7 linked regions of the Rattus norvegicus genome follow. The protein of the gene in region 4 interacts with the protein of the main gene of each other region in a pairwise test. Links are inferred from orthologs where the notes say so. Each region holds a gene or a part of one and is shown on either strand. Other genes may lie near its edges.

Evidence for each region.
Region 1: the proteins of Cep63 (region 4) and Ppp4r1 interact in a two-hybrid assay, tested with the Homo sapiens proteins (2 studies listed by BioGRID and IntAct). The link is inferred for Rattus norvegicus from reciprocal best matches to the Homo sapiens genes CEP63 and PPP4R1.
Region 2: the proteins of Cep63 (region 4) and Htt interact in binary tests that used the Homo sapiens proteins (3 or more experiments, as listed by UniProt). The link is inferred for Rattus norvegicus from reciprocal best matches to the Homo sapiens genes CEP63 and HTT.
Region 3: the proteins of Cep63 (region 4) and Gse1 interact in a two-hybrid assay, tested with the Homo sapiens proteins (2 studies listed by BioGRID and IntAct). The link is inferred for Rattus norvegicus from reciprocal best matches to the Homo sapiens genes CEP63 and GSE1.
Region 5: the proteins of Cep63 (region 4) and Ndel1 interact in a two-hybrid assay, tested with the Homo sapiens proteins (2 studies listed by BioGRID and IntAct). The link is inferred for Rattus norvegicus from reciprocal best matches to the Homo sapiens genes CEP63 and NDEL1.
Region 6: the proteins of Cep63 (region 4) and Ints6l interact in a two-hybrid assay, tested with the Homo sapiens proteins (2 studies listed by BioGRID and IntAct). The link is inferred for Rattus norvegicus from reciprocal best matches to the Homo sapiens genes CEP63 and INTS6L.
Region 7: the proteins of Cep63 (region 4) and Pcnx4 interact in a two-hybrid assay, tested with the Homo sapiens proteins (2 studies listed by BioGRID and IntAct). The link is inferred for Rattus norvegicus from reciprocal best matches to the Homo sapiens genes CEP63 and PCNX4.

Annotation. Positions count from the first base shown.
Region 1 is NC_086027.1:112,851,767-112,855,746, reverse strand, and holds the start of Ppp4r1 (serine/threonine-protein phosphatase 4 regulatory subunit 1), read right to left. Parts: upstream 2,801-3,980; 5' UTR 1-2,800. UniProt on the Homo sapiens protein: Regulatory subunit of serine/threonine-protein phosphatase 4. May play a role in regulation of cell division in renal glomeruli. The PPP4C-PPP4R1 PP4 complex may play a role in dephosphorylation and regulation of HDAC3.
Region 2 is NC_086032.1:80,216,869-80,221,099, forward strand, and holds the start of Htt (huntingtin), read right to left. Parts: upstream 2,801-4,231; 5' UTR 2,634-2,800; coding exon 2,434-2,633; intron 1-2,433.
Region 3 is NC_086037.1:65,493,483-65,497,459, reverse strand, and holds the start of Gse1 (Gse1 coiled-coil protein), read right to left. Parts: upstream 2,801-3,977; 5' UTR 2,737-2,800; coding exon 2,730-2,736; intron 1-2,729.
Region 4 is NC_086026.1:112,081,847-112,086,057, forward strand, and holds the start of Cep63 (centrosomal protein of 63 kDa), read right to left. Parts: upstream 2,801-4,211; 5' UTR 2,528-2,800; intron 2,416-2,527; exon of another isoform or gene 2,185-2,415; intron 1,817-2,184; exon of another isoform or gene 1,668-1,816; intron 322-1,667; exon of another isoform or gene 313-321; coding exon of another isoform or gene 284-312; intron 1-283. UniProt on the Homo sapiens protein: Required for normal spindle assembly.
Region 5 is NC_086028.1:54,041,536-54,045,035, forward strand, and holds part of Ndel1 (nuclear distribution protein nudE-like 1), read right to left. Parts: intron 2,146-3,500; coding exon 1,972-2,145; intron 1-1,971. UniProt on the Homo sapiens protein: Required for organization of the cellular microtubule array and microtubule anchoring at the centrosome. May regulate microtubule organization at least in part by targeting the microtubule severing protein KATNA1 to the centrosome.
Region 6 is NC_086039.1:139,294,230-139,298,290, reverse strand, and holds the start of Ints6l (integrator complex subunit 6-like), read right to left. Parts: upstream 2,801-4,061; 5' UTR 2,415-2,800; coding exon 2,304-2,414; intron 2,160-2,303; coding exon 2,082-2,159; intron 220-2,081; exon of another isoform or gene 1-219.
Region 7 is NC_086024.1:96,888,460-96,891,959, forward strand, and holds part of Pcnx4 (pecanex-like protein 4), read left to right. Parts: intron 1-846; coding exon 847-1,210; intron 1,211-3,500.

The sequences.
Region 1 (3,980 bases), on a different chromosome or scaffold from region 4:
TGCCCTCAGTTCTCCCCTTCATGATGTCAGGCTGCAGCTGAGCTTGTCAGGCACCTTTATGCAGGCTCTAGAATTCTATGACTATGACCAAACTGTTTCATCAGAGTCTCACATGGCTTCACAGATAAACATGATTCTGGTTCACAAAAGGTGGGCAGAGCAGGGAAGCGCCTGGTAGTGGCTACTGTTAAGTATCACTGTGCTCAAGACCAGCATGGAGGTCATCTGAAAGGCACACTCCTGGACCACATACTCAGATATTGACTATGCAAGTCTAGAACGAGGCCTATGGCATCTGTTTTGATAAATATCCTCATTAATTTAAATGCAGACATACATTAAACAACCATATCTGTTCCTATCTCCTGTCATCTCTCTCAGTCACGGACGACAGCACTAGTACATAAGAAGGATGCTCCCCTTTGGCAGACTCTGACGCAGGCTCACTACTTCTGGTACTGTGGCCAGCCCGGGAAGTCACTCTGGCTCGAGTTATCTGCCCTAGTCTATTTAAAGATGCCGACCCCACCGCCACACTCCACTTCTCAAAAAGGATCTTCCTGTGTGCCCCAGCTGGCCTAAACCCAGTCCTCCTGCCTCAGCACCATAAGCACTGGAATTCTAAGCATGTTACCACAGCGGCTTTGTCATCCCTTGACTATGGGTCTCATCCTAACAGAAGCCATCTAAAGATGGCTACATCTACAGATGACTAAATCAGCTCAAATCTTACTCAGCCCAAACTGCAAATGCCTGCCACAGCTTCTAATGAGAAACTTAGTCCAGGCTAGCCTAAGTTACCACACAGCAGAGCTATACAGAGAAACCTTGTCTCAAAATAAAAAACAAATTCAAAAAACAAGCAGAGAACAATGATATGTGTGTGTGATACATTGATATATATATATATACATGTATATATAATACACATATATCATATGTAATACATACATGAAAACGTCACTAAAATTGTTTAAAACCTCTCACTGCTGCTGGAAAAAAATCCCTGTATATATGTGTACACACACCATATATACACAGCTGGTGGTTTCTTTAAATAAAACAGCATCAAGGTGTTACATAAATGCAAAGGTTACATTTGCTACAAGGTTTCTACAGCTCATTGAAGCAGCACACTAAGTGTCAAGGTTTATTTACTATTATGTGAGGAGGGCGTGGGATTGTGGTAGATCTGCAGGGCCTGTGGGTAGATCTGCTGTGTCCGTGGGTAGATCTGCAGGTGCTATGGCATGTGTGATACAGGCAGGCAGTTCTCTCCTTCCACAACACCCGTTATGGGCATGAGGGTCAGGAAGCACCATTACAAAGAAGCTCTCTCTGACGTTTTCTTTGCAGTGCTGGACGGAGGTCCAAGTCTCCATCACAGGAAGCAAGCACTAAGTTATACCCAGCCTAGTACCTCACCTCTCAATTGATGGTAATACAAATTAAAGATGAAAATTACAATTCTGAAAATAATCTTTGAAACATGCAAAAAGGTATAACCAGACAAAAACATAGGAATAAAAATGGGATTATAAGAAAATACTTAATTGGACTGGAAAGATGACCCAGTGGTTAAGAGCACTGACTGCGGGGCTGGGGATTTAGCTCAGTGGTAGAGCGCTTACCTAGGAAGCGCAAGGCCCTGGGTTCGGTCCCCAGCTCTGAAAAAAAAGAACAAAAAAAAAAAAAAAAGAGCACTGACTGCTCTTCCAGAGGTCCTGAGTTTATATCCCAGCACCCACACATGGTGGCTCACAACCATCTGTAATGAGATCTGTCACCATCTTCTGGTGTCTGAAGACAGCTACAGTGTATTTATATTTTTTTAAATAAATCTTAAAAAAAAAAAGTGTGGGCTATCATGCCCAGCCCATTATCTGATTATAGTATACAAAAAAAAATACTTAATCTGAAAGGAACCTATGAAAGGAATAAGCAAAAAGTAATGAAACTAACAGAAAAATACCAGCCCTAAGTACACCAAACAGTTATCCCACCTAGAAATGGACTATTTCAGTTAAAAGAAAAGATTACGAGGCAAGGACAGCACTGAGTACTGTCTGTTAACCAGAGCCTCTTTCTTTCCTTTTGCTTGAGAGCATCTCACTGTGTAAGCTAGGCTGGCCTCAAACTTACTATGCATAGCCCTGGTGATCCCAGCACTTGGGAGGCTAAGGCAGAAGAGTTACGAGTTTGAGGCCAATCTGGGCTACAAGTGTTCTAATCATATAGAAGGAATCCTTATAGGAACCTAGGCATTCCTATCTCAAAGCCTGAGATAGGAAAACTGCTGCTCACTGTAAATTAAACTAAGCACATGCATCTTTCTAATTCTGGATCACAAAAGACATTGTTTTATTCTTAAACCTCATGAAAGATGGCAAAGCAATAACAGTAAGAATATTTCTGTTAACAATGGAGCACGGGGCTGGGGATTTAGCTCAGTGGTAGAGCGCTTACCTAGGAAGCGCAAGGCCCTGGGTTTGGTCCCCAGCTCCGGAAAAAAAAAAGAACCAAAAAAAAAAAAAAAAAAAAAAAAACAATGGAGCACTTCTCTGTATAAAAACACAAAGTTACAAAAACCACCCCAGGAGACAGTACAAACAGCACCATCTGCTAAATCCCACCCCTCTGCACACAAAGAAAATACAAAGTAGTTGAAATCATCTTAATCTTCAGCTTTCTAAGAGATAGTATTATCTAAAATATAAAAGTGTAAAAACTAGGGCTGGAGAGATGGCTCAGCGGGTAAGAGCACTGACTGCTCTTCCAGAGGTCCTGAGTTCAATTCCCAGCAACCACATGGTGGCTCACAACCATCTGTAATGGGATCTGATGCCCTCTTCTAGTGTGTCTGAAGACAGCTACAGTGTACTTATATATAATAAATGAATAAATCTTAAAAAAAAAAAAGTGTAGGGGTTGGGGATTTAGCTCAGTGGTAGAGCGCTTGCCTAGGAAGCGCAAGGCCCTGGGTTCGGTCCCCAGCTCCGAAAAAAAGAACCAAAAAAAAAAAAAAAAAAAAAAGTGTAAAAACTAGGAAGGCATGGAATCTACTCCAGGTCTGGGTCCAGCTCTCAGGCTCGGCTGCTTATAAGCTATCCTGCCCAACGAGAGCGATGGTTTAATTAGAGCAGACTTTACCATTGACAAAGTGGCCCAACTTACAATGACCCCCTGCTTCTGCCCCCCTGATGCTAGCAATACAGGTGTGCACCACCACACTGAGCTGCCATCGAGACTTTCAGACACCAACCACGATGTTGTCTACAGAGGACCTGACAGAGCCCATAAACAGACCTTCCCACTCCACAACTCTGCATCTGGAACTGTCTCCAGAGATTTAAATTTCAATGTTCCTTCTGTGTTTTAAGTTTTCATTGATCCTATGAAACTAGCAAATAGAGCAGCACCTACACTATATAGTGGCATGTAGGGACCAAATGATTTTAAAACCCAGGCAAAAAGGTATTCCTAGGAGGTACACACTAAGAATGAATGTGTGCACATGGGTACTCACACATTCTTTTAGATGGCCTGGTAAGGAAGTGAAGCCCTTTCTTGGAGCCTGAGTAACAGGAGAATCCCTTCTAAGTAAAAAGTCCAAAAGCTGGTGCTCACTCTTAAACCCAGACCTTGTGGAGCAGAAGCAGGTGGATCTCTGAGTCGGGAGGCCAGCCTGGTCTAGTGAGTTCCAGCATGCTATGTAGAGACCCAGACCATCAACACCAAGCGAGTCCAAAACTCTATTTCAGTACAAAGCCTGAGCTGTCAGACCTGCAGGCACTGTTGGTACAGAAGTGAGAGTTGCATAAAGAAACTACCTCAGAAATCCACTCATGGCAATTTTACAGAGTTTCTTTTTACTTCCTAATCACTTTCCATTGGGACAGAATTTTGTCCCAATATGCTTTTATGCTTGAGATTTTGTTTCTTGGTGACAAAGAGAAGCCTTTATGTGACGTTCCAGGCGA
Region 2 (4,231 bases), on a different chromosome or scaffold from region 4:
TGAGGTCATAACTTTGTTCCCTGCTAAAACCTGGAACTAGAATAAGTCTGGGCACACAGGAGATGATCAGCAAATATTGATAAATGAATGACTACGATCAGGAAACCTAATGAGGTCTATTAAAGGTGAATGTCAACTGCTTAAGGCCTATCGGACCCAATGCAGCCAGCTGAGCAGAGAACAAGTTCTCGGCTATTTCAACAGAAGCCCACGCATGGCTGTGACACTGGTTCTATGGAACACAATGAGAGTCATAAAAATAGAACAGATTCATTCTAAAACTGTTTTGGCTGGTCTCACTTTGAAAAAAGGACTTTTAAGCGGAGTGAGTGAACAGAATGCCAAAATCAAAGCTTCCAAGCAGTGAGTTTGTTACTTATTATTAATGAGCATTTGGTTTTTCACAGCAAAGTACATAGAAATATAAAATATACACTAATGGAGCTGACTTTGGAAAATGTTACAGTTGGTGATGTACAGTGTGGTAACAAGGGGTTGTTTAAGCTTTTAAAAGCTTTTGTTCCAAAACACTTTTGCTTATAAAGAATTTAAAAAGCCTGCCCTAACATATGCCCAAATTTTATCTGGAAGGACAAATGAAGTGTAACAGAGCTTGCTCCTTGGTACAGAGTTAGGAAACGGGAAGGGAGATGTTTTCATTATTTAGCCTTTTTTATCTATGGGACTGTATCATGTTTAATGAATTACTTAATTACTTATGCAAAAACAAACTAATTTGTGTTTGAAGCGGGTACAGAACACTCTCTCTGACAAAGACACACACACACACACACACACACACACACACACACACAAGTTTACAGAATATGTGGGAAATATGTAAACTTCCACAATTCCTACCACCAAGAGAGGCAGAGTCATGGTAATAATCTAAACAACTAACTAAAAAAATATTTGAACAGTCAAGCATGGTGCCACATGCCTTTAATCCCAGCACTGAGGAGGCAGAGGCAGGAGGATAGATCTCCATAAGTTACAGGAGTTACATAGTGAGACTGTCTCGAAAGCAAAAAGAAATTACTTATCTAGAGATAAGAGGTTTTCTATTCACAATTTTCACCTTATAGAAGATAAATTTATTCATATATTTTGTTCTACAAATAAGACAACATTTCTCCCCAAATCTTTATCTTTTAAAAGTAAACTCAGAACAGGGAAGGGATGCTATCAGAAACACAAAAACAAAAAAAAAAAAAATTAGTAAAAATGAGCTTGGAATAAGCTCAGTGGTATCATTAGAACACTTGTTTTCTAATGAGTTTTAATGTCCTTCTTTAGTAGGTTGTTTCCTGAAAGTTCTCCTTATTAATTATACAAGTTCAGATTAGAAATAAAATGCCCAGAGTTGAGAGAAAGACCTGAGCTCAAGAAATCACGGGGCTGAACACCCAGCATGGACTTCCAGGAAATATCTTGAGCATCTCTTTTCTCTTAGAGCATTGTGACTCATGATCTGTCTTCTGTTTCAATATTCTCTCCAGTCACAAGCAGTGAGCTTCCAAAGATCTATAAGATGTCAGTAAAGAACTAAACAGGAACTTTTACTGGTACACGAGATATCTACACAGAGTCTGAGTGGTCCATGTTCTAAAACAAGCTTGACTGCAACACTCCCGGGTGTAAACTGCACAATACCAATGTATCCATTTTATATACAACAGAAAATAGATAGGCAATAAATATCAGTCCACTCTTTCATATATATGCACATACACGTATAATTTGTATTAATAATCACACATAAGTAATTCACCGTGTACTTGACAAATACAACTCATCCAACTGCCTGCAGACCAACAGAGCATACAGAAGCACACCTCTCCAGCGATGCTTAAAACCTTGTTAACTACACTGCACCATGAACTAAACGAAAACGCCAGGAGAGTATGAAGTGCCTCAAGTCACAGGCTGCTTCAAGTGTCACTTGGAAAAAGAATATCCCATTGGATGCGTTCACACTCCCCCGCCCTCAGCACTCCCGCCGAGACCTCCTAAAAGCATTATGTCATCCACTATCCGCACATCTCTCACGCTGTCCTGCACTCCCGGCTCCCAGGCCTGATGAGGAGGTAACCCAAGAGATCTCTGCCTCTCCAAGTTCTCTTCACAACAGTCAAGTGCGCCACCGCCCCAGTTTCCCCCGAAGAGAGAAACAAGTTCGTTCCCTAACTTCGCAAACTGGGAACCGTGAAGGCACTGGAGCCGTGACGCTCCTCAGCGAGTCCCTCGCTGGCCTGACCAGGCTGTCTCCTCTGGGGAAGGCCAAAGACCCCTCAAGGCAAGGGCCCGGGCCGGGAAGGCCTGGCCTCAGGGAGGTACCGCGACCCTCTGGACAGGGGACCGCGTTGGCCATGCCCAGCACGCAGGCCAGGGGCGCGGGCCCCGGGCGGGAGCTGCGGCGCCCGGACTCACGGTCGGTGCAGCGGCTCCTCGGCCGGACCTGGCAGCGGCGGTGGTGGCGGCGGCTGCCCCTGAGGCGGCGGCTGAGGGGGTTGAGGCGGCGGCGGCGGCGGTGGTGGCGGCGCCTGCGGCGGCGGCTGCTGCTGCTGCTGTTGCTGCTGGAACGACTTGAGCGACTCGAAAGCCTTCATCAGTTTTTCCAGGGTTGCCATGACGGCCTCCTGCCCGACAGGACAGACCCTGAAGGCTTGGAGCCTATTCGCACTACGCAGCGCCACTTAGCAGCAAGGTAATGAATGGGGCTCTACGAGGTAGACCGAAGCGGAACCAAAGCTCCCAGCCATCTTGGGCCCGTCCCGGCAACCCTCGCGGCGAGTGCGTCCCGTGACGTCATGCCGGCGGAGGCGAGGCCACGCCAGACCTGCAGAATTGACAAGCGGATGCGTCGTCCTCTTTCTCAACGTTTGGTCGTGGGCGTGCCCTGCCTCTGCTAGTTTATTAAGACTCTCCGCCCCGCCGATGAGGCCCCGCCCCTTCCCGGCCGAAGAAAGCTCCTCTGAGTGAAAAAGCCAAGCAAGAGGATCGGTGGGCGAGGCAGGCTGCCAGATGAGGGGCGGAGCTGAGCCGAGAGTGAGCGCGGCAACGGCGACAGAAAAGTGGTGAGGGGGTGGGCAGAGGAGTTGGGGAGACCCGGAAGGAAGGAAGGGTTGGAAAGGGGAAAGAAAGAGAAGAAATTTCCCTGCATAAAGCCACACTACACCTGGAGTCACCGGGAAGGCGACTGTGGAGCTCGGAACCCAGAATCCAGAGAGGCTCTTTTTTCCACTAGCCAGGCAATGGCCTGAGCTTCAGTCCCGAGCGCAGCGAACTGGGGAGCTTTGGTCAGACACACTACAATGAGACCCAGACCCTGGGAACTGCTATACCCATCAGCCAGAATCTAAAAGGGGGGTCTCATTGCCACCAGGGCTGAGGTCCTTGTCTCTAGAGCCTCCATCTCCCAAAGGTAAACAATTAAAAGCAGGAAGCTAAGAATGGTGCGAGTACACCCAGGCTGTTCCTTCAGCCTGCCTAGCAAAAAGTGTTGGCTTCAGCCGGGTATGGTGGTGCATGCCTTTAATCACAGCACTTGTAGAATGCTTTGAGTAGCATGCACAGAAGCTCTGGGTTTAATCCCTGCACTTTATAAACCAGGAGTGGTAATCATGCCTGTAATCCCAGCACTCAGCAGGTGGGAGGAGGATCAGGAGTTCTAGAGTTTCCCCTTGGATTCATAGTGAATTCAAGTCAGCATGGGCTATATCAGAACTTGTCTCAAAAGAAAAAGGAAAAGGGAAAAAGAAAAGAAAAAAAAAAAAAAGCCAGGCAATGGTAGAGCACACCTTTAATCTCAGGAGGCAGAGGCTGGCAGATCTCTTGAGTTCGAGGCCAGCCTGTTCTGCAAAATGAGTTCCAGGACACAGAGCTACACAGAAACCATCTCAAACAAACAAACAATGTGCTGGCTCCTGAAAGAGCTGTCTGGAGGTGATCCATGCTGTGAGAAATCCAATGAAGCTTCGGGCTACCTGTAAGACTCAAATGCCCTATTCCATGGCCATAAGACACTCCCTTTTCTCAAAATGGTCAAGTATACAGAAACCAATATTGTTCCTATAGGGGTATAAGCAGCCCGCTCCTGTTAAACTGCCAAGGACAGCAGAGAAACAGTCTTTAAATTCCATGTCCCTCCTGTTACTAATGCCACTGTTGGATGCACAGAGCCAGTGCCAGCCCTCACATGAGGCAGTCTCTAACAGCTGGTCAGGGC
Region 3 (3,977 bases), on a different chromosome or scaffold from region 4:
CCTCCCAGCAGCGAGCGAACGCGAGGCTGGGTTCAGGAGGCGCTCGATAAATTCTCATTGACAGGAACACTCAGAAGCGTCACCTCCCAGGCTGTGGCCTGTGTGCCTGGGGGCGGGGGGAGAAAGGCCAGCGTGGGAAGTGAAGCCAGCACAGTACTGGCGGGCTGCACTTGGCCAGGCCGAGGAGATCTGAGACTCCATGGGGGCAGAAATTAAAGTGAGTCGGCAGGTCTGCCGCACAGCCACCAGGCTGAAATGTCACCTCAGACGAGGTTCTCTGCAGGTTAAACATGCTCTCTCGACCCGAGATCCCAGGAGAGGGAGGGAGAGGGAAAGACGTGGGCTAGGCCTCATAGAGGGATTGTGGCTGTTGCCACAACACGGGTAATTAACGTGCTCCCCCCACCAGAAGGCTCCTATCCAACCCCACCAGGCATTGGAGTAACCCAGGCTGGGCATTCCAAGGCTGCAGATGGGGCCAGGAAAAACCGGCCTTGCTGGCTCACTCCACAAGCCCCTGCGGGTTCCTGGGGGCAAGGGGGAAAAGTGGCAACTGGCTATTATTACACAGTGAGTCTCTAGGAAGGGGAGGGGGGGAACCAGCAGGGAGCCAAGGCTAGACCTCCTCCACGGCAGGGAAATAGACCACACCTGCCTGAAGGGTCAAGGCCAGCTGGGGACTCAGCGGGCTGGGGCTGATGGAGGGCCTGGAGGAGGTGCAGGCCCCTGGTCCACCACAAAGAGGCGCAGACCTCTTCTTCCCCCTTCCTCTGGCTAGAGGTGCAGAGTCCTGAGGTGGCTGCCTTTCTGCAAACCACACAGCCCTTTGAGATCTGCAGCTTCCAACTTCCTCCAGAGAGACAGGGAAGTTACTCACAGCCAGAGGCCTGCCTGCCTGCCAGCTCTGCCAAGAGCAACAGAGGCTTCCAAAGGGTCAAGCTTTTTCGGAACCTTCCTGACATTCCGACCCCATTAAAAACAGAATTGCCCCAGGTCATCCCCAAGGTTAGGGGGCCTGACAAGGCTTGGCTCCTAGTAATTTTAAAATGTTAAGTTTAAAGGAACTATATATATACACCCCCTTTCAACCCTAACCGGTCAGGATCCTAATAACTGCCCCCAACAGGTCAGGGCCTGATCTGGCCTCCTAGCCTTCCTGGTTCAGAACCTGCCCTAAGGCAGGCAGAACAGAGCCCAAAGCTAGGACAGGCCTCCCACCTCCTTTCCGAAGGCGGGGCTGACCCCGGGTCTCTGGCTGGCTGCTCACCAGCGCCTCCCCCCTCCCCCAGCCTCCTCCGCTCCTGCTGCCAGACCAGGCGACAAAAGCCAACCTTGTACCAAGCCATCAAGGCACCCCCCAGGAGGTGGTCAGGCGTGACCCGGTGCCTGTGAGAAGTGTTGAGCAAGCTGCTTCTGCACAGCAGAACCCGATCGGGTGAGCCTGCCAGCAACCCTGTTCCGGTCCACCCGGTGGGGCGTGACACCCAGCACAGCAGATGACACACGCTGCCAGTCGGAGCCTGTGCCCCGGCCCCCCTCACCTGTGGCGGGGCGACTGAGCGGCTGAGTCAGACACAGCCTGCGCCTCAGGTTCCCCGCCTGCGGGTGGGGGCGGCTGTAAACACAGGCTGAGCAACACTTAAGTAGCCAAGCTTAAGTAACACGGACGCCCAGGGAAGGCTGCTCGCCAGGGGGGGCCCTGTCTTCCTAGGGAAGAGGGGGTAAAACAGTCTCAGGCAAGAGACTGAGACACTGCCAAGCGCCCAGCCAAGACCTCCTGCCTTTGTCCCCTTTGCTGGAAATCGGCTTAGGCCCGATGCTCCCTCCTAGAGTGAGGCTGCGCCTTTTGTTCCGGCCCCCTTTACAAAAGGATCTTGTATTTTGCCCCCCCTCCATTTGGTGGTCCCGCTTTTTGTTTTCAAACCCCAACCTGTGTGGGCCCCAACCGCGACAGATAAGACACTGCAGGGGTCTAGCAAGGGTTTAGTGTGCTTTAAACGCATGGAGACAAAGGCTGGTTTGCAAGCACCAAACCGACCCAACTCGAGCTGGCACCCCCACCACGAGTGGCAGGTGCGCGGGGGCGCCCCTCGCTCGCTCCGGGCTCCGATACCCAGATCTGCGGCCCCTAGCCTGCTCCTCGCAGTCCTAAGCGGCCCCCTCCACCTCCCTGCGCTCGGAGAGGCGGGCAGCGGGGAGGGCAGCCCAGCTCCCGCTCCGCCTCCAAGAAGGGAATTTAATTAGCCTGCCGGAGAGGCGGCGGGCGACGAGGTGTCTCTGGTGCTGCAATATAATTGAATCGGCTCCACTCGGGCGGGCCACTCGCCGTCAGCGCGGCCGCGGGGGGCGGGGAGGCGCATCCAGGCGGAGCGGGAAGGGCCGGGCGGGGTCGCGGAGGCCCCCTGAACTGCCATCCCAGGCAAGGCGTCCCCCACACCGATCCAACCACCTGCCTGGGCACCCCCGCCCCATCCAAAGTTTTGCTTCAACCCCGAGCCCCGGAGCCGCCCCCGCACACTTCCCCGCGCACTTCCGCGGTCGCAGAGCTCGCTGCGCCCAGCGCGCGCGCGCAGCCGCGAGTGTGGCTTCAGGTCGGCCGCGCGCCCCGCGCTTCTCGTACCTCGCACCCGCGGGACCTGGCACCGGCCGTTGGCGCCCCTCCCGAGCCCACAAACTTGGGTAGGGGAAGAGCGAGGGAACCCCCGTCACCCCCCTACCCGCGCGCTCACCTTTCATGCCAGGGCCCCGCTGCTCCGCCGCGCCTGACACATGCCGGAGCCACCGTCGCCCGGGTTTGTCTGAACTGCTTATCTCACCCGGGGCTGTGCGGCGGCGGCTCGGCCGCTCGGGGAGGTGGAGCTTCCGGGGCCTGGGCCAAGAAACACCTGCTGCTGTCGCCGCTGAGGACACACCCAAGCGCAACGCCGCCCACTCCCCGGCCCCGGCTCGCTCCCGGCGCCCTGACCTCAGCCGGCGGGAGGTGTCGGGTTTCAGCCGCAAGCGCACGCGCGCGCACCGACGGACCGCCCGGAGCACCCAGCGCGGTCACAGCCCGCCGGGTAGGTGCCGCCCCCGCGCTCCTGGCGACCCGGGCTGGACAGTCGAGGGGGACCTCTTCGAGGCTTCGCGGGCCACTCATCTCCCAAGAGTAGAGAGGAGTGGCTTACAACACTCCTCTCCGCCTGCCATATCTGAGCCTCAAAGCCGCCTCCCCAAGCGCCTGGAACAGTGCCTGGCACCTGGCCACCCACTAAGAGAGGGGAGGGATAAACCCAGCGCTCAGGAGGACTTTCCTTGTGCTGAGTGGAGGGGACTACACAATATAGGCCGCTGGCCTCCCTCGCTCTCCAAGATGCCTGATCTATTACCGCAACTTTAAAGGATTTAATGTTAAGAGCTGGGGCCACGAGCCTCTGACCCAAAGTTTTGCAAAGTCTCCATCTTTAAGAAATTTTTGTGAAGGCCACACGGGGGGGGGGGGGGTCGAGTTCTTTAAAGAGCCCATGTTCGAGAAGCTTAAGTCCACGGAGGCGCCGCTGCGCCAGGGGCATCATTAAGTAGCTGGGGTTGCGGTCAGAGGCGAGGCCGCTGCCGCCGCCTCCAGAAACTGGCACAACCCACCGCGCCACCGGCCCCAGCGCACCGCCTTCCCATTCTTGATGCCCCCACCCACCCTACCTCACCCAGGCACTTCACCGGGATGACTCAGGGAGCGTCCTGAAATTCTTCGGCACCCACAGGCGGCGCGGAGAGGGACTGGGCCCCAGCGTCCCCGCCCCCAACGCGACCGGTCCCCAGGACGTCCCCTTCCCACCACCCGGGAGGCGCGGGGTTATAGGACAAGCCCGGCTGGGTCCCTCGGCCGGACCAAGCGCGCAAGGAGCAGCCAGAGAGATGGCAAGGTCGTCGCGAGGTCCCGGGGTCTCCCCCGCCCGCCCTCTCTACACTGCTCTCTAATGATCCTCCGCTTTCATACT
Region 4 (4,211 bases):
ATGTCCTGAGTTCAATTCCCAGCAACCACATGGTGGCTCACAACCATCTGCCCTCTTCTGGTGTGTCTGAAGACAACTACGATATACTCACCTAAAATAAATAATCCTTTTTAAAAAAAAATTGTTATATGTTCAAACAATTTAAACACATTAAAGTCTATTGGTTTGTTGGTTTGTTGGTTTGTTTTTAAGGTAACGCCCTTGGGTTACTTTTGGAGGTTGCTAAACTACAGATTTAAACACATTCAAGTTTATCTGTTTTAAGGTAGAGCCCTTGGGTTACCTTTGGAGGTTGCTAGGCCACCAATTCATTGCTGTAGTCTGAAAGGAAAGGAACAGAGTTAAGCATTTTCTTGCTATTCCTGGATAAGCTGTATTCAGGATAGTCAGATAAGAGTGCACTGGGCGCATGACCGTGGCTGTCCTGCAGTAACAGACCTGGGCACTATTAGCCATGTTAAATCTCTCTATTGACCAAAGGGCTCCTGGGCAATTTCATGGTGGATCAACTGAGCAGACAGCATAGGAACCACTACATACACAGCTTAATCTCAACATCCCAAGTGGGATGACTCAGACATTACAAGTCTCCCTGATAATGAATGCAACCGATAATTTTCATAATATAAAGCCTATAACTATTACGTTTTTCTTATACCTCCAATCAAAAATCAAGGTTGAATCTAACACTATTTCAAAAGATCATTGTATTTCAACAGAACTTTCTGTAATTATGGAAACATTTTATCTGTATTGATCAAACAGTAGCCACTAGGCAACCTGTGAACGCTGGGTATATCAAATGTGGCTAACGCAATTGAGGAACCAAACTTTTATTTCATTTAAAATATCAGGACTGGCTGATGACTGCCACACTGGACAGTGTAATTCAAGATTTAGCCAGTGGAGGAGAGGTCATAGAAGAGTAGAGGAACATAGTCAAAAATATATACAATCAGTTAAATCTGAATGATAAATGGAGGTAAGAAAATGCTATAGATTAGAGGGCTTTAAAGGCCTAGCAATCGAAGGCAACAGACAGTTCTCTGCAGGAAATCTGGTCCAAGCACAGTATTTCAATTTCAAGCACATATGGAGTAGCTGAAAAACCCTGAACCCATTGGATATTGATATTGTGTATTTGTTATAAATTTGTACTGATATAAAGATAGCACCGTGATTTTGTAAAACTTAAAAAAGCAAATCTAGCCTTTGGCATGGAGAGTACCTTAACTATGTTAGCTATGATAGTGTGGACTAATGCTGTCACCATCAGCCACTACACAGGACAGGAAGGCCTAAGGAACTGTCCCCTACCTCCCCACAGGAGGAAACAGCATCAGCAGATACACATTCTAAAGGGACATGCATCTGTTTATAAATCTCTAACCCATTTTAGTTTGACAACCTCCTTAACTGATCGCTGAGGACGGCACAGTGAAAGACAAGAAGCAGGGACAAAAATTACCTAAAAATGGCGCTGCATTCCAATGAATGAATATAATTCATGAATGAAACGAAGATAATTCGTTTCATCGTATCACTAAGCTACAGCCTTTAAGAGTAGGTGTAAATAGTTAGATAATTAAAGCCATTGATCTTTGACTTACAAAATATAAATACAAAATAAATGCAAATGTTCGAAGAATTGTACAAAGAGCACCTACCCTGCTTTAATAAAGTAATACATTTTAAAACTCTAAATTGGCCTCAAGAAAGAGAACTCAAAAAGCCAGGCGAGGTGGTGCAGATCCTTAACTAGCAGGCAGAGGTAGGTCCATCTACAATGAGGCCAGCCTGGTCGACCAGAGCAACAAAGGAGAGCCGGTGCTAGTTGGAGAGAAAGGGGATCGCTTTGAGCAATAAGTGTACAGTTTATAAATGAAAACTCTGTAACCCCACGATTCTGTGAAGTACAAAAGCCCTTTCCAATCAATCCATTCACGGTCAAGTGTCTCCGCGTAAAGCGTTGTTATCGAACTGCTCTTTCAAAACTTTCACTCGACTTGAAAGCGTTCCGCAATTCGCCTGCATCAGGGGTTCCCGCACCTTTCCTACGAACATTACGAGGGAACCCTGCGGACTTCACGCTGAGTGGCTAATGCTAAGGCCTGGTCCTACACCCGTAGCAGCAGGGTTCCTCCCCGGGAGCGAAGCAACCCGCCCTCCCGCTGGCCGTAGCACCTGGCCGGTCAGCTCAGAGCCCCATAGGGAGGAGACGGAGGAACCCAGGGACGCAGCGGCCGGACAGCAGTGGGCGTGCAGTGGAGGCCCCCGCGGTAGGTGGGCCGCAACGAACTGCGGCCCCGGGCCATGCGGCCAGAAGGTTAGCGGCACCACGGTGGCCAGGGCCGCAAACGCACAACAAGCCGCAGCTCGCCCGTCTTAGGGGCATGCGGTCGGTTACGGAGCGCGCCCCCGGCAGAGCGCGCCCCGGGGCCTGCCCGCCGTTCCTCTGACCGGGAACGCGCGCACGTCACAATAAATCGACGTTCGTCCCGCCCCCTACAGCAGCGAATGGACTCACCTACATACGGGGTATGAGAGCGCCGTGCGTCACGTGACCCGGAAGAAGGGCGGGGCCCGGAGGAAGCCGACGCGCGCTCTGTGGGTAAGGGTTTTTCGCGCCCGCCGCCCGGGTTTCTGAGAGTAGCCAAGCGTTCGCCCTCGACTTCAGAGTCGTTCAGCGCTTCCAGAAGCGCAGGCCGGTACTCTCAACCGACCTTCAGAGCCACTTCTTTACTGCACGCTGTGCGGAGTGGAACGGAGCACCCATGGCGACGCTCGACCTCCCCCTTGCACTTCCGCACGTAGTAGCTCCAGCACTCGAACCGGAAACGGCTGCAGCGGGTGGTTCTGCGTCTAGTGACCCAAGATGGTGGCCTGCGAAGGCCAATTTTAGTATCGGCCCCCGTGCTTTTAGCTTAGAAATACATTTACAAAGCTGTGATTGTGAAAATACATAAAACGTGAGTATGTCTCATAGGACGTACGCATCTAATATCTAGAAAGAGATGTCTGGACAAAAAAACTCCTGTTGTCACATATTGTGCTCAGAGATCAAGACAATCTGAGAGCTGAGAATTTATCTGGAGGACCGGGCATAGTAAGAGAAGAGTACAAAAAGTTTAAGAAACCTAGAGAGGTTATGCTGTGTCGTAAGGGTTTGGGGCATTGCCTGTGCTTGCTTTTCCCAGGGGGAGCACCCGATCACCTGACCCAGGAAAATAGATGTAGACTTCAAAGCCCTGCCGCGGTTCCTGTTGTTTAGAAGGACGAGCAAGCATAACTGATGAAGTACAGTGGGTGGGTAAAAAGCAAGCCGGTTTGTAGGCATGTGGGAGAGGGTCGTGTTAAAAAACATTGAGGCCGGGCTCAGGGAGTTAAAAAATCATGAGGCCAGGCTCAGAGAGATGGCTCAGGGGTTAAAAACACTGTCTACTCTTCTAGAGGTCCTGAGTTCAATTCCCAGCAACCACATGGTGGCTCACAACCATCTGTAATGAGATCTGGTGCCCTCTTCTGGTCTGCAGGCATACATGCAGGCAGAGAGCTGTATGATATATACATAATAAATAATTAAAAAACAAACAAACAAACATTGAGGCCAGCTTGTTGAAAGATTGGGAATCACCGCATTACCACTGGAGACAGTAGGACTCTGCCAGTCAATCACAAAGCTGACCTAACTTGTTTCATAGATCATTTAATGTGAGCAACAAAGCATTCAAGGACAAAGAGCCTGCTAAAAAACTGGAAGGAAGTCAGAACACTTTAGAAAAGGATGCAGTCTGTATAGGACTGGGAAAATCAGTACAGGAAAGAATGAAATGTAGCCCAAGACACAGCTATAAAAACAAAAGATTGACAGGAAAGGGGAGGAAACTTGTCAAGCCCTAGAGGAGTGACTAGAAGTGGCTCTTCAGCTAGCTTTGCATTATCCACTAGCTAGGGTCTGGTTAAGTCTGAGGAAAACTGCTAAGCCATCACCTGGTTTTCACTCAGCAGGAGGAGCTGACCACCTTTGGCTTCAGTGTTTGTATGCGGGTGTGTGGTGTGTCTGTGTGCATGAGCAGACAAAAAAGGTGTGGTTTCTGCCTACAGGTGGAGTCGTAGATGAGTGTAGAGGTCAGAGGTCAACGTCTGTGTCTTCCTTTATTACTTTGAATCTTAAACTAAACCTGGAACTTTCTGATTCAACTAGACTGCCT
Region 5 (3,500 bases), on a different chromosome or scaffold from region 4:
AAGGGTGAAGAGGAAGGAAGGGTCTGGGAAGGGATGAGGGAGGGAAAACAGGATCAGAATGTTGTATAAAAAAATTACTTGCAATTGAAAAAAATAAAAGAATACGCCAAACTGGGTACAGTTATAGGCAGGGAATCTTTGTGAGGTTGAGGCCAGCCTTGTGTGTGTTGGGGGGGCGGGGGGGGGGGGGGGGAGACAGAGACAGAGTACCAGGGTAGACAGGACTACAAAGTGAAACCATATCTCAAGAGAAAAAAAAAAAAAAGGAAAAGCAAGGCAAGACAAAGAGAAGAGAAATACTGTGCAGGGGCTGGAGAGATGGCTCAGTGGTTAAGAGCACTGACTAGATGAGTACACCTACAATGTACTCACATATATGAAACAAATAAATCTAAAAAACCACACACATATAAAAGAAATACTGTGCCAAGCCAGTAATCAGCATGATAATATTCTCAATAATGAAATGTGACTGATAAAGGAAATTGAATCCCTTTCATTCATTTAAATTAATATAAAGTTTAACAGTCACTTGTGGCTACTTGAGCAGCACAAATACAGGAAATGCTGTCCTAATTGCCCAGAGAACCTCCTCTCACTCTAGAGAATAAAATGTATTTTAAGAAGGGCAAGAGGAGACAGCGTCTGTTGAGGGTGAAAAAAGGGCGAGTGGAGGAAGCTGGGATACGAACTGCAGACTACCTAAACAAGCTGGAACTGGAAAGCTCTGGGATTGCACTGCAAGGCTCTAAGACTGGTTACAGACTGCTTTACCTCTTATGTGCACATAACAAACACTGACTGACAACAGGTGAATCTTACCAGTTCCCCTGAATGTTACCTTAGTGCGTAGTTCAAGACCTATCCAACAGAATGTTCTGAGCCAACCATATAGCAATCCAAATAGTAACTTAAAGATTCTCTTCATATCTGTATCCTGTTTTTCTATGACATACTAAATGGCAAAAGCGAGAAATAATTATTTAGGTAGGATCAAAAAACTTAACATGAGAGACTGGGTGTGATGGCACATGCCTGTAATCCCAGAACATGGGAGGGAGAGGCGCAAAGATCAGGAATTAATTCAAAGGTCATCTTCAGGACAGCCTAGGCTTGATGAGACTACACCTCAAAACTAAACACCAGGGGCTGGGGATTTAGCTCAGTGGTAGAGCGCTTACCTAGGAAGCGCAAGGCCCTGGGTTCGGTCCCCAGCTCCGAAAAAAAGAACCAAAAAAAAAAAAAAACAAAAACAAAAAAAAAACTAAACACCAATCTATGGTAGCAAAGAAATGTGTAAGGAATAACTCAAAGAAAAATCCTCTGTAAAACTTGATCTTCTTGTACTTTCAAATTCTCTACATGGAACTGAAATTATAGCTCAGTGTCAGTGCCTTAGCCAAGCACATACAGAGCTCTGGGTTCAATCCCCAGGCCCAAAACAGACAAATTAGACAGACAGAGAAATCTGCACGAACATATATCACAATAACCAAAATAAGCTTTTAAAACTTTTAACTTTTTAACTTGCGGGGCATGGTGGCACTCCATAACCCCAGCACTCAGGAGGTGGAGGCACGGAATCTCTTGAGTTAGAAGCCGGCCTGGTCTACAGAGTGAGTTCCAGGAGCCAGAACTACTCAGAGAGAGACCCTGTCTTGGAAAACATAGAAATAAGTAACTTTTTCGGAGCTGGGGACCGAACCCAGGGCCTTGCGCTTCCTAGGCAAGCGCTCTACCACTGAGCTAAATCCCCAACCCAAATAAGTAACTTTTAACTTTAAGAATTTTACTTAAGCTGCTCTTGTGTTGAGTGCAGACTTCATCTCACAGTGACCTAGAAAAACAATTCTACCTTTGTTTCCTGGATACTAAAGTAACTTGTTCATCATTTAACTGTAGCAGCTTCCCTACATCAGCAAATGCATTTCAAACCCATCATCTAACATGGCTGAAAGAGAAAATACAAACCTTTTGGTGAAGGAAAACTGTTTTCTGTGCCTTTCCCCACAGGCGTTGCAGGCAAGGAGAGCGAAGCCTGGACGGCAGAATCCATCTTCTCACAGTCCAGAGTTGGAGAGCTGGGAGCAGACTTTCGGGTCACTTCCTGTTGCCGTTCCCGAACTGCTAGCTCTTGCCTTAAATCTGCAAAATGTTGCAAACAAAAGCAGGAATCCTCATTAGAGAGAGCAACTATATCCTGGCTCAAGTCCCAACCAAAACACTGTAAGACATTCCTCCTAAGTTACAGTTTCTCAAAACAAGCTTCTATTCTAAAAATGTTTATCTCTGGAAAAAAATGTGAACTTCCCTAGAATTTAAAAATGTGGGATAGTGAGATGGCTTAGTAGCTTAAGGCATTTGTTACCAAGCCTGACAGCCTGAGCTCCATCCCCAAGACAGACATGGTAGACTGAGAAACAAACCCTACGAGATATCCTCTGACTTCCACATCTGTACAGTGGCACGCACACACGCATACACACAGTAAACATAATTTTTAAAAAAATAATTTTAAACTGCTATAACCTCTCAGAGAACAATATTATGCCCAAAGGCAGAAAGAAATTGAGCAGTGAGAGCTGGAGACGGCTTTTCCGCTAGACAAGTTCAGTTCCTAATCCATGTCAGACAGATGCCTCTAACTCTAGCTTCAGGGGATCTAACACCCTCTTCTGGCCTCTGCAGACACCTGCACATAAGTGGCATGCACATACACACATAAAATAATGTCTTTAAATAAAAAAAAAAAAAAAGGGCTGGAGAGATGGCTCAGTGGTTAAAAGCACTGATTGCTCTTCTAGAGGTCCTGAGTTCAAATCCCAGCAACCACATGGTAGCTCACAACCATCTGTAAATGGGATCCAATGCCCTCTTCTGGTGTGTCTGAAGAGAGCTAAAGTGTACTCATATACAATAAATAAATAAATCTTTAAAAAAAAAAAAAGAGGACACAAAGTAGAACTCATAGTGAAACTAAATAACACAAAATATTCCTAAACAACTTCTCATGTGTATATATATATATATATATATGTATATGAGATATATATGTATATATATATGTGTGTGTGTGTGTGTATTGCATATGTCACAGATTACTACGAAAAACCAATGAAGATTTTAAGTTTTATATTTTTTTTAATTATTATTTTGTTTAAACAAAGTCTCACTATGTAGTTCTGGTAGGCCTGGAGTTCTCTATGTAGATGAGGCTGGCCTCAAACTTACAAAGATCCAATTGTCTTTGCTTTCAGAGTACCTGGATTAAAGGCATGCACTACTACACCTCAGATTTTTTTTAAACTACCACTATGAAATCCTTTTTCAATACTGAATTTTTAATGTTTTAAATTATATAATGACCCTGAAAAATATCTTATGTTAAAAGAAAAAGGATAAAAAGAAGCAGATCTCTGAGAAATTTAAAGCCAGCCTTGTCTACATAGAGAGTCCCAGGACAACCAGGGCTATGCAAAAAGATTCTATTTCAGGAAAAG
Region 6 (4,061 bases), on a different chromosome or scaffold from region 4:
CATGTGATTCTTTCTCTTTATTTTTCTTTTTTTTTTCTTTTCTCTTCTTTTCTTTTTTCTGAGAAAGTGTCTCACTATAGAACCCTGGCTGTCCTAGAACTTGCTATGTAGACCAGGCTGGCCTCAAACTCATAAAGGTCCATCTCACTCTGCCTTCCGTGTGCTGGGGATTAAAGGCACGCTGATTAAAGACCTCCACAGCAGGCTGTCCGGTAATTCCTATAACTCAAAAAAAAAAAAAAACAAACTATTTTAGGAACTACCAGCATTCCTTGCAAAAATGCTGTGCCTTTAAATAAAACGATAGATAAGAACTGTTTTTGTAGTTTATCCCCTCGACTGCTTCAAATTAACTGATGCATCTTCAAATGAGCACACCACAAAAGGTAGGCTCTTACTGTTAGTAATAGTCGAAGTGTGCAAACATTCAGGCTCTGGGTCGTATTTTATTTTTCTACGATGAGAATAGAATTTTTGCAAAGCTTCATATTTGTAAATGCTCCATTACTGAAATTTATGTCTCCAGCTCTAGATTCTCAATATGTTAGTCCAGGCTGGCCTGGAAAACTGGCATTTCTAAAAATATTCGATATTTGCAAGATATGTAGTGGCTCGAATTTTTTTTAGCAGATAAATAAAAAAAATGAAAATAAACGAGTTGAAACCAAAATAGTATTAGGAAAATCCTACAACTTCAACTTTTAATCAAAGCAGAGAGTTACCAAATCAGTATCTTCGCTTTCATTGTCTGAAAGAACACTAGGCAACTTACTTTGAGAGGGAACAACTCATTAAACCAGGGCTTACAACACGTCCAGGCTGAACCTCCAGTTAATTTACTGAGATAGATAAGTTATCCCGCGAGGGGATGAGGGGGGCCAGATGGATGACGCAGTAGTGAAAGACATCAAGGGTAATGGTAACGACCTTCTAATATTTCAACAGGCAAGCACGATTCTTAGGCGGGATGATTTAACAGTTTGAGTTCCTCTTATCTACCCACTGCAGGCGAACCAGTTCTTTATCTCTTTACCATGGGAACACAAATAACTACCCCACGGAGGCTAAGGGTCAGACCCTGAGAATCAAATCATTGACTTGGTCTAGTGCATCTGCTCAGAGTCCAATCGTCCCCTTGGCAAATCCCTATGCGGCTAAGAGCAAACCTAATTTCGGATGCAAATAGGTAGGCCTGCTCCCTAAAATACTCTGGCCCCTGTTAAACCAGTTCCCTAAGAAGGTTTTGCTCGGGCACCCCCCCCCTCCCGCGCGCGCCCCTCCCCTCCCCCAAACACTCTGTGGTTGCTTCGCAGGAATTTCCAATGAAACAGCAACTGTCGCTAAGGTAACTGCGAGCAGAGCAGGGCTCAACCTGACAGAGCGCGCAGGGTCTGGGAGCTGGGAGCAGCGTAGGCTAAGCAATTCCGAGCGGGTGGTGGCACGAGAGGGGCGGGGGCCAGGGCCTCGAATGCAAAGGAGCGGCTCTGGGAGGCCAGCGCTAGTGCAGCCCCGCGTTTGGCAGGAAGAGGAGGGGAAGATGCGGTGAAGGAGAAGCGGACCGGAGAGGGAGGAGGGAGAGGAAGCCCAGGCGGGGCGGGCCGAGGGATGGAAGGAGGGACCAGAGGAGGAGCCCAGGCGGCAGCAAAGCCCGCGCCGGGCTAGGAGCACATCGGGGCGGAGTCCCGGGCGAAGGGACCGCAGCCTCACCAAGGGCCTTGAGCCCTCCTTCCTCGGCCTCCTCCCCTCCCTCCTTTCCATCTCAGCAGCGCCCTCACCCTGCCTCTGGCTGCCTCATACAAAAGCAAAATGTCCGCCATCTTCGGAGTCGATTGCTGCCGCCGTGCTAGGAGCTCGGCCCTCCCGTGCCTTCTCTGCACGGACTGCTCATCTCCGGGCCTCTCTCTGCGACCCCCGGCCGCCGCCACCCGCCCCGCTCCTCCCGCCCTTCGGCGTCCCGCACTCCAGCCCGTCCTGCAGGGCGACGCAGGATCGCCACGGGTGGAGGCAAAAGGGATCAGCAGCCCCAGGCTAGTGGACGCGCACGCTCTTCCCGCCCACCGCTCCCCCGCTGGCCTGTTTACCTTGATGCAGTAGGGAGGCTCGTCGTAGGTGACCAGCATGTACCTGTCTCCGCGGCTGGCCGGGTCCCGGGCGCGCAGCTGCGGGGCGAGGGATGACGGAGGGGTCGCGTAGGAAAGCGTAGGAAAGGAGAGGAAGCGATACAAACGTTACAGAAGCACCTCAGTCCACCACCACCCCATCCCGCAGGAGCGACCCCCTCATCTCCTTTCCCCTCCTTTTACCTTCAAGAATAACTCCACAGCGCCTTTGGCAATGTCCAAATAGGAGGTGCCCAGGTCAGTGCGCTGGTTCATGGAGGCGGACGTATCTATGAGGAACAGCAGGATGGGCATCTTCCACTACACCTCTGGTTCTGGTCCCCACTTTCCCGGCCCCTTTGCCCTCAATGCCACGTATGGCTACCCAAATCCTGAACTCTCACAGAGCCAGGGAGCAAGAGGAAAAGGGGGGAAACGGGATGGGATAGATGGGACCGCTCCCGGCCTCTTTCTGCAGCCCCAACTCCTCTCCCTCCAAGGGAACTTGAAAGTGTGAGTGTGTGTAGGTCTCCGGGCCGTCTCTCTTCCCCTCTTCTGCCACCACTACTGCCCGCCGCTGCTGCCGCTGCCAGGACTACTGCCTAAGCATCCGTCCACGCTCACTAGAGCGCTTGCCCCAGACTGAGAGCCCTCTCTGTTCACTGACACAACTTCTGTCTGCTCACCTACCATCAGCACCATGTGACCAGAACCCACGCCATTGGCTGCCAATTATGTTTAATTTACATATTCATTAGATGACTGGGTAAAGGGAGGGACTTGGACAAAGCCTAGGAATTGTAGTTTGAACCCATGCTGGAGGTAAGGGGCGGGGGAGTAAAAGACCCTCTTTAAGCTCAGATTCTCCTTTAAAGGATTTAGAAGCCGTTAGGATAATTTGTTTGGTCGTTTGGATGGATTTTCTTTCGTGCTTCAAAGATGGTCATTCGAAAGGAAAAGAGAATTGAGCAACAGTTATAGAAAAACAGATGTTTAGGCAGGCTACACACAAAACGCTGTGCGAACTACAATCAATCAATCCTGCCAGTGGCTAAGACCAAAACATTTCAGTAGCAGCAAACTTCTTTCCTGGCCAGAGTTGCTCAAATTCCTTTAGATTAGTCCCTCTTCCTGATCACTGTTTACGTGTCGTTTATGTGTTGTATTCAGCGTATAGCTACTTAAAAAGGAAGCTATCGCGGAAACAGTTAACCTAAGCTGTCCTTTTGTAAGGACAGGCTTTTTTGGGCTTTGAAACACTGGCCAGCCTGTGATACTTGAACCACCACTGTTGGGTCTGTGCAGCATTTATCCATGGGTGGTATTTATTCTGCTTCAACTCAAGTTTATTGAACATCCACAAAAGTGCCAGGCACCCTAGTAGACTCGTTTAATCTGAGACATGTAGTGTCGATGGTACTGAAACAATTTTCAGTAGAGGGAAGTTGTCAACTCTGGCTCCATGTAAGAAGTACTCAGTAACTGGTCAACCACACTTGGCTTTCCACTTCTTATGACTCGATTTTAAAATTTGTACCTCAGGCTGGTCCTGAACTCTTCAACATATCCTACAAGCATGTGCTACTCCAATTGCTGTGACATTAGTTTTAATATAGACTATGAGGTAAGGTTGCAGCATAGGAGTACAATGTTTGCTCAGTTCATGTGAGGCGCTGAATTTGATTCTCCAGCAATCCTGATGATGATGACGACGATGATGATGAGACAGTATTTCTAGCAATGCGCTGTACACAAGTTGGAATCTTGAGCTTTGATGACTACAATTTTAATACAACATGAAGATCGCATACATATCTGCAAATGTTTTTATATTGTTTGAGATATTCTATGTATATGTTCTATGTGATATATAATATTATATATATGTGATATATAATATTATATATATGTAATATATATAATGTTTTCTGAGAAATAAGATTTCAGAAGTGAATCCATGAC
Region 7 (3,500 bases), on a different chromosome or scaffold from region 4:
CAGTAGGTCACAAAACCAAAAGTCATGAATGTGAGGGAAAGATTTGTGGAGAGGGGTGCATTGAGAGGGGAGGAGATGAGAGGATTGTGGGAGTATAATCAGAATACATTGTATGTATGTATGAAATTGACCAAGAGAAAAAAATTAATTGAAAAAAGAAAAAATAGTAACATAAAATAGTGCTTAGCTGAGCTCATAGAACTAAGTTATAAACTTTAATCATTGTACTACATTTTAGAGATTAAGTCTCCCTAACAACCTGTACTTCTAATATAAAAATACTAATTCAATCTTAGTTAATTCAATGTAGTTGAATTCAATCTTTTGTTATCAGTCTAGCTTTTCTCTTCAGTTGGCATCCATAACTGTGCTTTCCTAGAGTTTATCCCAGTCACTTGTGGTCGTTTACCATAACATTTAAGTGGTGTAGCACAATTTACTTTATATAGACATGAAGCTTAGGTTAACAACACAACCACTGGGTGGAGTGATGAGTGGCGTGGCAGATATCACACACATCAGATGCTGCCAGTACAAGCCGGGGTCTGTGCTCCCATGCCCTTAGGAGGCAGAGGCCGAGAGTGTTGGGAGGTCAAGGTCATCTTCAACTACCAAGCAAGTTTGAGGCCAGCCAAGGCTCCATGAGATCCTTCCTCAAAACACCAAACTAATAAACCTAGCTTCTCCTTTATTGCTTTTGAGGTTCCAGAAAATTATAAGGAATTGCTTGCTGGGGCTGCTCCCTCAAAATAGTGAGGCAGTCATATAATCATTATGTGATTTATTTTTACATGATTTTCTGAAACTACAAGACATGGTTAAATGCTCATTTTTATGTGTCTGCAGGTTGGTATCATGAGAGACCGTCTGGTTCAGTTCCTTACTAAGGTGCAGTTTGCTGTGACTGTACTTTTGGCATCATGGACGGAGAAGAAGCAGCATAGAAAACTGACGACAACTTTGTGTGTTCTCAACGCCATATTTGCTCCCCTTGTGCTGATTATTATAGTTGTCTCAACAGTGCTGTCCTCTCCTCTACTGCCTCTCTTCACACTGCCTGTTTTCTTGGTGGGGTTCCCTCGTCCAGTTCAGAGCTGGCCAGGAGCAGTGGGCACTGCAGCTTGTGTGTGCACAGACACGGTGTTCTACCAGCAGATGGTCCCCAGGCTGACTTCAGCACTGCAGACTGCAATGGCCGCTGGAAGTTTAGGTGAGTGGTAAGCTGTGCTTAAAAACTTCTTTCTGATATATTTGAGGTAAAAGAAAAGGAGGGAGGGAGGGAGGGAGGGAGGGAGGGAGGGAGAAAACAAAACAGAAGATCCCTTTGATCCAACCATAAAACAGATTCTAGTACTTTGATGTATAACCAGAGACTAAATATGAAATAGAATTATATCTCTACTGCTTACTTGGAGATAAAATGATAATAAAAATACTTAAGGAAAATTTCCCCAGAGTGAATTGGCCATTTAAAAAGGAAAACTTTTTTTGTAATAAATTCAATTGGCAGGCTCACCATTGAAACAAAACCTTTCTGCCTTTCTGCTCATGCTTCTTAGGAACTTAAAATGAATTTCTGTCAAGTCAATACAGTGGGTTCTACCTGTAAAAGGAAAGCAGCTGCTGGTGTGGATCACCCTGCCTAGTACATCCCAGTACGGAGACCTTTAAAGGAAAGCAGGCATACAAACATGTGCAAATACTGAGGGCCAGTAGAGATTCACCAGGCGCCCACTTGGGGAATCAATCTCTTGTAGGCATTTCAGTGGGTAGTGTCCAGCCCTGCTGAGCTAACCCATCATGGCCACATGTTGAATAAGGACACAGACACACACAGACACACACACACAGAGAGAGAGAGAGAGAGAGAGAGAGAGAGAGAGAGAGAGAGAGAGAGAGATGCGCTATTTCTAAGAGCAAAAGAACTAGAAATACCTAAATTGTTTCCCAGCCAGAAAAAGAATGCTCAAAACCTCCTACAGTCACAGTGAATTCTAACGACTTGAGTGACCGGGAGCTGGAGGCAGTCAACATGAGCAAGGCTTATAGGTCCTATGTTGAAAGAGAGACCCAAGTTTTAAAAGCATACATCGCAAATTGATGTAAACTATATAAACATCTCAAAACCATAACACACTGTTCTATGTTTATCGTTTAGATCAGCGTGAGGCCGGCTTCATGCATTGTAGTCTTCCCTAGTAGGCTTCATGCATATTGAGCATTTTATTCAATAGTCTCCACTTGGTGGTTTTGCTGACAAACATAGCCTCAACTTTTCTGTATTCTGCCTTTATGATAACCCTTCCAAATGTTCACAAAGAGCTTGACTTAATGGCATGCAGTGAGTACTCATTTCTATTCTTTTGTTGTTGTTGTTGTTATTTTATTTATTTACATTTCAAATGTTATCCCCCTTCCCAGTTTCCCCTCCATGAGCCCTCATCCCCTCCTCCCTCCCACCGACCTCTATAAGTGTGTCATCCCCCAACCCCCGTGCTCCTGCCCCAGTGGCCTAGCATTCCCCTATCCTGGGTTATCAAGCCTCCATAGGACCAAGCGGCTCCTCTCCAGTGATGCCAGATAAGGCATCTTTGCTATCTATGCAGCTGGAGCCATGGGTATCCTCTTGTACTCTTTGGTTGGGGTTTAGTCCCTGGGAGCTTTAGGGGGTCTGGTTGGTTGACATTGTTGTTCTTCCTATGAGGTTGCAAACCCCTTCAGCTTCTTCAGTCCTTGGCCTAACTTCCCCATTGGGGTCCCTGCTCTCAGTCCAATGTTTGACTGCGTATATCTGCATCTGTATTGTTCCAGCTCTGGCAGACCCTCTCAGGGGACAGCTATACAGGGCTCCTGTCAGTAAGCACTTCATGGCATCAGCAATAGTGTCTGGGTTTGGTGTCTGCAGATGGGATGGATCCCTAGATTGGGCAGTCTCTGGATGGCCTTTCCTTCAGTTTCGGCTCCACTCTTTGTCCCTGCATTTTCTTTTGATAGGAGAAATTCTGGATTAATATTTTTGAGATGAGTGGCCCCATCCCTCAACTGGGGGCTGTGCCTATCCACTGGATAAGCTCTCTGCAGGTTCTATCTCCCCTTTGTTGGGTATTTTAGCTAAAGTCCTCCCTATTGGGTCCTGGGAACCTCTTGGGTCCCTGGCATCTGGCATTTTCTAGTGGCTACCACCAGTTCCCCATCCCCACTGCTACACACCGACTTTCAAATTCCTGACCCTCTGTCCTTCTCCCTCATCTCCTCCCATAACTGAACTGGCCCCCCTTTTTCCCTCCCAGATTCCTCACTCCCTCTACTTCCAAGAGATTACTCCCTTCCCCCTACTGAGTAGCACTGTAGAATATACACTTCTGTGTGATGTTCTTTCTTCTTGGGTTTCATATGGTCTGTGAGTTGTATTGTGGGTATTCCGGGCTTCTTTTGGATAATATCCACTGATCAGTGAGTACATACGATGTGTGCTCTTTTCTGTCTGGGTTACCTCACTC